Cricetulus griseus: one gene and its partner. The protein of the gene in region 2 purifies or fractionates together with the protein of the main gene of each other region. This does not show direct contact. Links are inferred from orthologs where the notes say so. Each region holds a gene or a part of one and is shown on either strand. Other genes may lie near its edges. The genes, in order: Sytl4 and Rab27b.

The links.
Region 1: the proteins of Rab27b (region 2) and Sytl4 purify together in Homo sapiens (co-immunoprecipitation; 3 studies listed by BioGRID and IntAct, counting the BioPlex papers as one, with this or other methods). This does not show direct contact. The link is inferred for Cricetulus griseus from reciprocal best matches to the Homo sapiens genes RAB27B and SYTL4.

What each region holds. Positions count from the first base shown.
Region 1 is NC_048604.1:46,185,301-46,191,476, forward strand, and holds the end of Sytl4 (synaptotagmin-like protein 4), read left to right. Parts: intron 1-462; coding exon 463-671; intron 672-2,944; coding exon 2,945-3,093; 3' UTR 3,094-4,569; downstream 4,570-6,176. UniProt on the Homo sapiens protein: Modulates exocytosis of dense-core granules and secretion of hormones in the pancreas and the pituitary. Interacts with vesicles containing negatively charged phospholipids in a Ca(2+)-independent manner.
Region 2 is NC_048595.1:169,441,864-169,448,072, forward strand, and holds the start of Rab27b (ras-related protein Rab-27B), read left to right. Parts: upstream 1-2,347; 5' UTR 2,348-2,650; intron 2,651-6,209. UniProt on the Homo sapiens protein: Small GTPase which cycles between active GTP-bound and inactive GDP-bound states. In its active state, binds to a variety of effector proteins to regulate homeostasis of late endocytic pathway, including endosomal positioning, maturation and secretion.

The DNA of each region.
Region 1 (6,176 bases), on a different chromosome or scaffold from region 2:
CTCAGACCAGTCCTCTTCCTGAATTCTAGATGGACAGTCCATGCTCCCTGACTGTCTGGATTCAGGGTTCAAGGCTCTGTTGTCCATAATTTTTAAGCAGTATAAGCTTCGTCTATAGTGGGGATGATTTACTGACTTAAGCTCACCAAGAATTCATGGTTGACTAAGCTAACACATATTAGTAATTGTGGGAGAGAAGTGGAACCACATATTTAAACCCATCCTTGGTGGAACATAGGCCAGAGCATGACTAACATATTCATTTTCTCTCCAGGTTACAGGAAGTAGATAATCTAGTGGAAGTAGTGGGGAACCTGCATCCTCACATTCAAAGGAGGGCTTGTGTGCACTGGGACCTGGGTGTTGGCTTGCCATCCTGGGCTAGGCCTGTGGTAGGGGCAAGGGGAATTTAGACGTATTCCCAGATTAAGTAGGTGTTGATAACTCCCCACCCTCTGCCAGATACCTCCTTCCCATGAGGAACAAGGCCAGTAAGCGTAAAACTCCTGTGATGAAGAAGACCCTGAATCCCCACTACAACCATACATTTGTCTACAATGGTGTGAGGCTGGAAGATCTACAACACATGTGCCTGGAACTGACTGTATGGGACCGGGAGCCCCTGGCCAGCAATGACTTCCTGGGAGGGGTCAGGCTGGGTGTTGGCACTGGTGAGACTCTCTTCCATCCGATCATCACATGTCTCAAAGGCCTTTTGTCTATCTTACTCTTCCTACCTCTTACCTTCCATGAGATATGAAGATCTTTTCTGACAGAAATTCTCTTCCTTTATGAAAACATCCAACAAGTACTTACTGAGTACCTGCTGCCTGCTAAGCCTAAGGGAAGGCTGAACTCATATAGTATTCTATGTATAGAAAGATGACCCTGAAGGCCAGGAACATCATCATCTTCCCACAAAAGAAGATCTAAAAGCTACCTAAACCCCTGACTTGTGATTCTTATCTTCTATCTTGGTGTAGTGAGAAGGGTCCTTTGCCAGCAAATCCTTATTATCCAAGGATTCTGACTTACTCCTCGCTTCTCAGTGGTTCTTTGTTTATAGTCTATATTTCTTCTGTATGATCGATTCCATTTGATTTGGCTATAGAAGGGGAGTATACACGTGCTCTGGTGAGACCAACCTCTCTCTCTCTCTCTCTCTCTCTCTCTGTCTGTCTCTCTCTCTCTCTGTCTGTCTCTCTCTCTCTCTCTCTCCAGGGTCTCATGGAGCCCAGATTGGCTTCAAACTCCTGATACTTATTTACTTATTACCTCTATGTCTCAAGTGCTCAGATAGTACATATGCACCAACATGCTCAGGCCTAATTTTGTTAAATAAAAGGTAAATCTTCCATTGGCCACTCCCCCCAGGACTCTAAAAAGAGTTTCCTGGCCTTTCCTGCAATTCTCAGTCCATTGTGATATGGCTGCTATTCTTCTACTCTTCTGAGTCATTATTCCTGCCAAACTGAGGTTTTTGTCTCTCTCTATAATTCCCAAGAACTATTTAATAGAGCAGATTACTCCCATTATCTTAAAAGTCTTACCACTTATTGCCTTCTTGACTCCCTGTGATTCCATTACACACCATTTCTAAATTTCCTTCATGGACTCTTCATTCTGCACTTCTGTATTCAAACTTTGAATGATGCTGATCTCTGGGCTTGGGCTTAGATGCTCTTTTTCCCCCTCTTTTTATAGTATTGATCAGGCCCATCCAACCTTTTGACATTGTGATATCATGGCATTTTCAAGTACAGTATTTATACTCAGGAACTGTGCAATCCAGTTACCAAGAAGTCACAGAAAGTAAAAAGAACTTCATTGTTTTAATTAGTTATTATTTTGTGTTGGGCCACATTCATAGCTATCCTCAGCTCCATGCAGCTCTGCTTGGACATATTTGCTAGATTCATTCTTTTGGTCTCGATTAATAACTATATATGAATAACTAGCAGAAAACATCTCTAATATTTTTGCACATGTAAGCTACTTCATGTCGGCTCCCTGTGTAAAATAATTTGGTAGCTTTCACCCACCTCAGGAATTCTTATTAAGTCTGCAGACCTCACGTAATCTGGACTCTTCCTTTCTTATTCTTCCTGTATCATTTTCTCACTCACTCATTGTGTTCCAATCACCGTAATTCTTACTTTGCTCTCCAAATATGCCAGGTTACATCCTACATTGAGACTTTATGATTGTCTTTCCTATTCACATGTAAGCTGCCTAAGGGCAGGGACATTTTTTGGTGTGTTCATCACTGCTTCCACAAACTGGCATAGGGTAGGCACTCAGGAAATGTTCATTGAATGAATGAATTACTATACAAAAAAGTAAGGAGTAAGATCACATAATCCTAACTTTGGTCCCAGTATTTACAGCTATAGAAAAAAGTATTCAGAGCTTGGGCATGGTTATGCATGCCTCTGGACTCAGCACTTGGCAGGCAGAGGCAGGAAGATTGCCACAAGTTCAAGGTCAGCCAGGATTCCAGTGTGAAATCCTGTCTCTAATAACATAAAAAGAGAGAATTTGAAAAATGTTAAGGCCTTATGTGTACTCTAGTTATTAACCAGTCCATTGCCTTTTTACTGTATATGCAATAAACTATTCTCTAAAAAATTAAGTTAAATTGCTAATGACAGAAGGGTAGCAGTTCTCGCATGGGGTGTCAGACACCAGAGCTCTGAAAAAGCCACTAAAAATAAGCCCCAATTGACATTATGCCATTTCAAGTCCCATTTCATCAACCTTCAGTCTCCTGATTATCTCTGGGGCACAAGTATTTGTAGACTCAGCTTGCCAGCTTGCTGTCCACAGCATTCTGTCTTCACTGTACATTGTTGTTTCTGGGCTGACCTTCTTCACTATATAACCCATCCTCCCTGATGGGCTAGTGGTAGGACTCTGTTCAGCCTCCTCTGGTGTTTCTCCTCAGGGATCAGTAATGGCGAAGTGGTGGACTGGATGGATTCGACTGGTGAAGAAGTGAGCCTGTGGCAGAAGATGCAACAGTACCCAGGGTCTTGGGCAGAAGGAACTCTGCAGCTACGTTCTTCAATGGTCAAACAGAACCTGGGTGTATGAATCCCTATCTTTATTTGCAGGTGCAACCCTGGTCAGTCCAAGTCAAAGGAAGCTAAGCAACCACAAGGAGAGATTGCTAATTTAATGTGTGTGCATGCATTTGTATTAACATATATTTCTGCAGATCTTATTTTGCTAGCTAGTGTGACACAGATGTGTTCCTCCCTTTAAAGCAGCCCAAGAATAAGGGTCTTTTCAAATGGTTTTATTTATCTATAGTCTAGTATATTTTCAGAGTACATAGTTGCCTCTACCTTTCTGTGGTTTAATTAAGTTTAGAAACCCTTTACAGCAACTCTCTACCTTCTATCTTGCTATTATTGTTCCCACTTTCCCTGGAAGTATGGCTGATTTTGTCAGTAGTTCTAGTTTGTAGGTCTAGATCAAAGGCCAAGACTCTTGGAAGCAAGGTTTGGTTGTTAAAGACAGTCCACTATGGGAGAGGGATTTATAACCAGTCCTTCCTCTCCAGTTTGTATTTTATGTCATCATCTACTTTGATATATTTTTAGAACTTGCTTTTTAGTTTTTCTTGTTTTTAGGCAATTTCCACCTTGCGTGAGTATAGTGGTTTTCTTTGAAATGCAGTGAAAATTCCCCAGCTCCTTCCTAGACCTTTGGGGAGCCCTTATAATGGAGTCATTTTAGAAAAATCACTTCAATTAGATAATGGCCTTTTCACTGAGACATTAACATGCCCTGTGAGACCTACTAGCTGATCTCAGAAGGTCTAAGTGACTCTGAATAAAGTTTTTCTCAGTCCATGCTGAGTTCTCTCTTTTTAGCTGTTACAGCACTTGTTGAAGAGGCATTTCCTTATTTCCCTAATGGAAGATGAGACATCTTCACTCTCATGTACTATAGCTTTCTCTAAGTTTGTGTCTAGGGTGTGCTGCTACATAGAACATAGTCTTTATACTTCTGTTTCAGCCAGTCTAAACCTTACAGTGCTCCCCTGGCCTGGGGCTTAATACCACCCCGTAAAAAATGTGGATGGAATCGCCCAGCTATTCTGACTTTCGACCTAATATATTTTTCAGTTCCTGTTTTTGGTTGTTTCTGAACTTGACCTATGGGTAACAGGGGAATAATGTGTTGAGATTTAAAAGAGAGACCAAGAAAGCTTTCATTTCCTGCTAGTCACTCTTCTAGACTGGACTTTTCAGTCATAGCAGTCTGTCTATACAGAGGTGTGTGTGTGTGTGGATGGTGTCTGTGCCCGAGGAGAAATCCTGTCAATGGAGCCAGCTGCGAATTGACTTTTCCTGTAAGGTCCCTGGATTGCATGCAGCTGGGGTGGTTAAGATCATATGTGTTGATTGTATAGAATGTTTTTCAAAGATCCCTTCAGTATGGATTGGTACTGTAATGGAAGTGTAACTCAAGAGTCCTGGCTCATACTTGTTCTTTGGCATTCCACCTCAACATGCATGTGTGTTTCAATAAAGCTTTATCACTTGAGTGTTTACACTTTGAGTTCTGCATATGCTTTAGTCTTTGATGCCCTGACTTATTGTTGCCACTTTCACTCATAGCTGGAAGGTCAGAACCAGAATAATAAGTGCACCTCACTATACTGGAAGAAAATCTGCCTTTTCCCATATATGTTTGGAATCTAAAAGTAGCATTACTTTTTTCCCTCTCAGGTACCCATAGAAGATGGCCCTTGGCTTTGTAGATTGTCCTTTGCTGGAAGAAGAAGGAGAGAGATATTCACACAGGCATGAGGGAACACCTTCCAGGCTACCAGCACTTTTTTCTAGATTATTCAGTTTCTCTGAGAGGTCAGGGTTTTTTCTCATTTATTCTATTATTTGGATTCCAGAGCTAAATCAAAGATGCTATACAACTCACCTTTGAAATAAGGCTCTGATTTTCTAGCTGCAGTTCAAGTGATTCTTGGCCTCTGTGCAAAAGCATAGTTGCAAAAGTCAAATGCATCCTGTATACAAGGTTTTGCATGATATTGTCTGACTCTCTCCAACACCTTATGTAGGAGGAAACCTTCCCTTCTTGCAGATCAAACACTCAGATGAGCTCCTTATTATGTGACAGAATTGGAATTTGAATCCAGGCCTGACTCTACCATGTTGCCTTCTATGAGAGTGATATCTGTTAAGGACAAATCATCAAACAAAATTATGCTTGTCTCTCCCAAAGTACCTTAGAGAACTAGGATTAATTTGCAAAGGAGGACACTAAGAATGCTTTGGATATTACTAAGCCAGCACAGTGACAACACTGTGTGTGTGTGTGTGTGTGTGTGTGTGTGTGTGAGAGAGAGAGAGAGAGAGAGAGAGAGAGAGAGAGAGAGAGAGAGAGAGAGAGAAGAAGGAGGGGAGAAGAGTGACAAAAAGAGAAGAGAACAGGTGGAGAGGGGAAGTGGAAAGGGAACTGCATAGGAAGGAATTAAATGGCGTTTGTCATGCTAGTCCCATTCGGACTGGCTATGGCCCTGAGTCCTTCTGTGTCTTTCCCCTACTTGGATTTTTTTCTTTCTTTTTTCCCAGAGACAGGGATTCTCTGTGTAATAGTCCTGGAACTCACTCTGTACACCAAGCTGGTCTTTAACTCACTGAGATCTGCCTGCCTCTGCCTCCTGAGTGCTGGGATCAAAAGCGTGCACTACCACTGCCCAGCTCTACTTGGATTTCTTAAGTCATAAGGACTACAAAGGAGGTTGTAGTAAAACCTTACCTAAAGAAGGCAAGATTGACTTGGCTACTCCAAATGACATAAAAGAAAGCCCCTAAAGTTGTTCTAAGCCTCAGTTCGCTGGACCATTTGCATTCAAGAGTAAGGCCCAGCTGGGAACTTTATGCAGGAGGTAGCAGGGCCCTGTGTTATCTTCTAGGCTGTTGACCTGCCAGCATGTCCTGGCTTGCCACTTGGAGTGCTAGGGTAAAGACATTGAGAGCATTTATCCTTCCCAATGTGTTGTCTTTGCCTTGCTCTGACCAGAAAGTTCCTACATGAACTCATTTTATTTCACCTTCTGCCTATCTATGACTTTAGCTCACTATAGCTTCTGCCTATCTTTGACTTTAGCTTTTCAAAGCTCCAGTATTTCTCTCAAGGTAAGA
Region 2 (6,209 bases):
TTTCCCTGTGTAAATGATTTGCCTATGGCTCGAAACACATTTTTAATGTTTATGGGTTACTATTATTTCAGAATGATGTATATATAATTAATGAGTAAATGTAAAGGGAACCTTCAATCTCACAAGTCCATAGTCTTTATTTGTGGAATTCTTAAAGCATTATTTCCTTCCATTCACTCCTCCGTCCCTTTCTGCACACAAAGAACTCATCTTCTAGAACTTTCTATGATTGTTTTTGTCACTTTTTCTCTTCTTCAACATTTTATGTAGCTTTTGTTCTACTTTGCGGAGGATTAATTTCTTTGCTGTTCACTCTTGCTATAAGCAGAGTCAAAGGGTCTGTGTTCAGCTCCTGGTAAGCCACTCATGACTTTACTTGTATTCTCCGGAAGACTGGAGGCTGGAAGAAGCGGATGAAGGAACTTGATTGATTACATAACAGTGGGTAGGAACTTCAGGTACAACCATTCTGTGTCTCTAACTAAACCCAATACTCCACCACTTGTCACCAGTCTGTGCCAGTATTTCTGCCTTAAAAACGCTCAGTCTGCTGGGTTTTGTGGGGGAGAAGAGCTAATAACCCTATGTCCTTAACTCTGTGACAGACAGGCACCTGTAAACTGCTTCTCTAAGTCAATACCTGCCTCCAACTGGTTTAACGTCTTTAAAAGATTCCATCACAAATTATTTTATCTGGTGAGGTCGCTTGTCTTTTTTATTTCCTTTTATGGTTTAAAATTTATTTTTAGAAGTTCAGAATTGATTTTGTTTTGTGTGTGTATGTTCAAGGAATTTGAGGAGGATGAAAGGAGGATGAAACACAGATGATGAATTTGCCATTTCATCTAGAAGTTTCCCAATTACAATGGTATCTGCATATACATTAGAGCTGCTTCGAAGAATGAGACAAAAATTTTATCTGTTTAATTTGTGCCACATATACATACCCCAGGCACAAAAGAGCCTTTAAAATCCTTACCTTCAAACTTTTTTTTTTCTGGTAGAAGAGTCAAGACAATGTTTATGAGTCAAGTGATATTGGAGCTCAAGAAGTTGGCTCAGTTTTTATGAGCTCTTATCACTCTTTCTGCGGACCTGGGCAGGCTTTGGTTCCCAGCACCTGTTGCTTGTGCTTCTCCACTGCTTCATCCCCAAATGAGCACACAGATGCTATATGAATGATAAAACTGTTGGCCGATGGCTAGGGCTTCTTATTGGCTAGCTCTGTCTTAAATATTAACTCATAACTACTTATCTATGTATTTCTACATGGCCTGACGTGTCCTATCTTCCATCTCTACATGATGTCTCTTTGCCCACCCTCTCTGCCTACCTCTCCCAGAATTCTCCTTGTTGCCCAGCTCCGCCTATCTTCCTGCCTCTATTGGCCAAACAGTGTTTTATTCATCAACCAATAAGAGAAACTTATATACAGAATGCCATCCCCCCATCAAGCACCCACAGGAGGCCTGCCTCTGCCTCTGCCTCCCGAATGCTGAGATTAAAGGCATGAGCCACCAATGCCCAGCGGCCCTGTTATTTTTATCTTCAAGAAAAGCACATCTTTGTGCTTGGCCTGTGATTTGGGCATTCCACAAGAAATGCTTCCTAGCAGATCTTAGCAGTTCTTTAAACTCTGAAGCATCGATCAGGGATGAGTTAAATTAAAACTTCCTAACTCTACCATGAGTATAAGCAACAGGTTTGGAACTATTTTATTTGTGAAGGAATACGTCAAATACCATTAGATGTATTCAATCTTGTATTCTTACCTTGAGTCTGTATTTCGGGATGTCAGAGTATGTCGAAAATGCAATGCACAGGATCTTCACTTAATGGGAAAATCCAAAGCGTTTATCTAGTATAGAACTTGCCACATACTATGAACTTAGTAAATACTAGTTTAGTGACCGTGTTTATCATTTTATTTAGCAGTAATCCATTAGCCCCCAAATGGCTTTAGGAAGGAAGCATCCCGTGGTGTGGACTGTGCATTCTTATGTACGTGCCCTAACTTTAGAAATGCGGTTTCCTTCCAGTCCCCAGTCTGATCCAATGCTTTTCTCTGCTCTCTACCTGGAAGCCCTTGCTCTAGGAGGCTGCCCACCCACCCCACCCCCCCCCCGGGTGTAGGCAAGCTGTATATGAAAGCTGGTCTCCCCACACTGCCTCAGGCTCTTTGAAAGAGGTGTCAGCGCAAAGCCAGAAAAATAAGTCAATGAAAACGAGCTGGCCGCTAGGACATGCACCCCCACAGCGTGGAGAATCCAGCGGCAGCCAAGTGTGTTTCTTATTGCAGCGGTTGAGTCACCAGACAGACTGGCCCGAGGTGAGCCAGGCACATCCGCGTTAGGACTCAGAGACACGCCTTCTTCTCACACAAACCTTCCTGATCCCAGCCGCCTAGGCGGACTCCCGGGTGGTGCTACCAGCCCTGCCACTCGCAGCCCGGACAGGCAGAGGTTGGGGACTGCCTGGCGTTGCACCGATCGAGAGCCACAGGTTGCAAACGCAGGGAGCTGTGCCCATGACAGTGGCGCTGTGAAGCTGCTGGTGAGCAGTGGCTGCTGGTGGGTACCAGAGCTCGGGAAGACAGGAGCGGCCCTGAAACCCGACACCAGCGCCCTCGCTGTGGCTGTTTCCCGGGCTGGTGAGTTGGGGAAGGCGGGCTGTCGGCTGGAATTCAGTCCCACCCACTCTGGGTGCCCGCGGGCTTCAGGGAAGGGGAACCCCAGAGGGTGCAGGCCCCAAGCTCGAAGCCTTCCATCTGTTACCTGCAGAAAGCTGAGCTAGCCAGCCCTTGGGGCTGCTGCTGCTGCTCAGATAGCCCCAGAAAACTCCATCTACCCTCTTTGCTTTGCTGTGTGCCTTTCCTACAGCTGAGTAGAACAAAAACCAAACCCAAACAAGAACACTGGACAGAGGCATGCCCATCCGTATTTTTTAAAAAAGAAAACAAAAACGATTATTATCAGCAAGAAGAGTGACATGCAGAGAGAAAGGACGGAGGGAGGCTGTCCAGGCAAGAGACAGGACTTGTCTTGGCACTTCCCTAAGATGAATCAGCCACAGAAAGTGAAGAGTGTTTTTTGTGTTCCATTCCAGCGTTTGCCCCATTACTTCCGAATTCTGATCAAAGTTTTGCATCTAGGGAGTGAGTGTGGGGAGTGAGTGTTACTGCCAGTGGCACCAACACAACCATATTCAAGATTTTCCTCACTGCAACATTATCTTAGCAAGCCTCTGGAAATCATTGACTCGGGTGAGGTGTAAGTAGTGATGGCCTTCCTAGGAAAAAGCTATGTTTGGTCAAAGCCTGCACACCTGTAACGTGTTGGCCAGTTATCTAAAACTAAGGCTGTGGGGCTCACGTTTAAATGGATTGCATGTAGTTTCAGGGTTAATAGCAAAGACATGGGTTTTGGTTTGAATAGGCTTAAGTGAATACCCACAGTTCTCAATATTTAGTTGGTATTCATACTTACATGTGCATACAATGTACTGATTAATGGTTGTAACTTTCGAAATGTAGCAAAGGCAGACATCGGTATTATTGTAAGCAGATAAGTTCACTGGATTTTTAAGTACTGTGAAGTTCAGTTTGTAGTTATAAAATGGAGAGAAGTACTTTTCGGATGCTATCCTGCCCACTCCCATAGCAAGTTTTCAGAGTTTCCAAAGGTAATTCCTTACCTACTATTCTTACCAGCAGGAACTTCTACGGATCACCACAAAGTGTATTGCTTGCCAGATAGTCTAACATTAAGGAGACCTCTCTGATTAAGGACTGACTATGAACTCCCATGATCTCTTACTATCTTTGCTCCTGAATGAAAAACAAAACATTTCAGATTAAACTGGATAAGCCTGTTCTCATCTTTGCCAAGTGGCAATAAAAAGAATGTCAAATGCAAGCAAACCACAGTTCTCCCTACCCATAGGTCATTTATAGAACAGGCATATTTGACCTGATAAGGAAGGTAACCCTGAGAAAGTGATCCTCTTAACTCATGGTGTACCACATTGTAATTACTTCTGTCTTCCGGTTTCAGGTTGGGCATTCATAAATATTCCTCTAGAAACATGAATGTCAAAGTCCCATGTGGTTCACAGCTGGAATCTGCTGATTTCCCCCATTCTTACAAAGTTGGAGTTTGGCTTTCAACCTAGATCAGTGGTTCTCAACCTTCTGAATGCTAAAACCCTTAAATACAGTTCCTCATGCTATAGTGACCCCCAACTATAAAATTATTTTCTTTGATACTTCATACCTGCAATTTTGCTATTGTTGTAAACCATAATATAGATATCTGTGTTTTCTAATGGTCTTAGGCAACCCCTGTGAAAGGGTCATTTGATCCCCAGAGAGGTTGTGATCCACAGGTTGAGAAACGCTGACCTAGTACAGCAAGGAAGGCACACCGGCTATTCATCTAAAGCTCATCTCAGGATGAGTCTAGTTTCTTATGTTGATTCATCAAGGCTGGTTAACCAATAGTTCAGCTCTGAAGCAATTACTTGTAATGCTGAGATGCAGAACAGTTCCAATAAAAAGAGACAGGGCAAACCAGATGTTTGCCATGAATTATTTGTAGAGATGCCTAGCAAAGGATTGGCTTTCTGCATGGTTAGGTGTATAAGGTATGGAATGGATGTTCTGTAGATACAGGAAGTGACAGCATCACTGGATGGACCTGTTCTTAGCACTATATACTTGGCTGGTTTCAGGCCCTTTTCAGTCATTACTGCTGGCCCTCAAGTGTTGAGCTTCTCTCCTCAGCCCTCCTTAAATAAGCAAAGGACTAGTGTGTAAGAGCTTTCTGGTTTATAAATGATTAAAAGAATCATTTCATAAATTCAGTATTTTAACTTGTGCAATATCTTGAGAAAAGAAAACAATATATCCAGTTGCTTGTTCACGTATTTGACAAATATTTCTAAATAGCATCAAGTGCTGTTACAGGCTCTGTAGGCAAACATGAACAAAATAAGAAGACATCCCTAACCTTGTGCACCTTACTATTTATTCCCGACATCCCTAACCCTGGGGACAAAGAGTTGACAAGAGGAACAGGTTACCTCAATGACACATGACTCACGGGTGCTAAAGAGAAATAGAGTACAGGGCAAAAGAGAGCTATTCTGTAAGTTTCGGTAGTGTCAGGGTGGGGGCGGGTGTGCCAGGCTGCAGAATAAGTGCTAGGGCAAGTGATACTGAGAAGCTATTTCAATGTCTGTGTGGAACAGGTGAGGAAGTGAACCATTGGAGACTATTCCAAACTGAACAACTAGGGAGCTAGGATTTGCCAGTGATGTTCCCTAGCTCTAAAAGGGTCAGGTCAGAGAGAGCTTTGAAGGTGTTAATAAATAGTAGGCTTTGGGTTTTCACTCAAATGAGTGAATGAGAAAAAGCTATACTAAATAGTCTATGAAACATTCTCCAACAAATCTTTGCCTAGCATTATAAACATTAATATTCTTCTAAGCACCAAGGATAAGAGATGCTAAAAAGATAAAAGGACACTGCTATATACACATTACATCCTAGGGTGAAGAGAGAGAGATGGGAACAAATTAATAATCCTACAAGGCTTAATATTATTAAATAAAGCACGGTAATGGGTAAAAATAATGACACTGGTCAGGAGAAACCTTGGGGAGAGACATATTTTATTGTAATATAATATGGTATGTTTACAGTTGTCTCTCTTTGTGAGTGGCTTCTATATCCATGTGTTCCACTATCTTTGAATGAATAAAAATATTTGAAGCTAAATTTCATCTGTATGGAGCATGTACATGACATTTCTCATCATGGTTTCCTGGGAAATCTACTGTAACAGTTATTTACACATCCTTCACACTATGTTGATTATGACTATTCCAAAGATACCTGAGATATAGATTTAAAATATGTAATGCTTGTGCATGTTCGGTACTAATACTACGTGATTGTATACAATTGTATATAAAGATTGATGCTTCTATTCATGTAGGTATTCTTAGGGGCCTTTAAATCAGTACCCTGTAGAAGCAGTGGAAAACTATGCATGTGAACTGATAAAATTGAAACATTTTCCATGCTCATCTCTTCAAAAACTTATGACTTTGTTTTGGGAGAATTGTATATATAATAAGATGATTTTTTAAGCTGTCTCACTGGCTTCCTTGAAGACAATGGCTGAAATCTGACTACAAAAGAAGAAAGG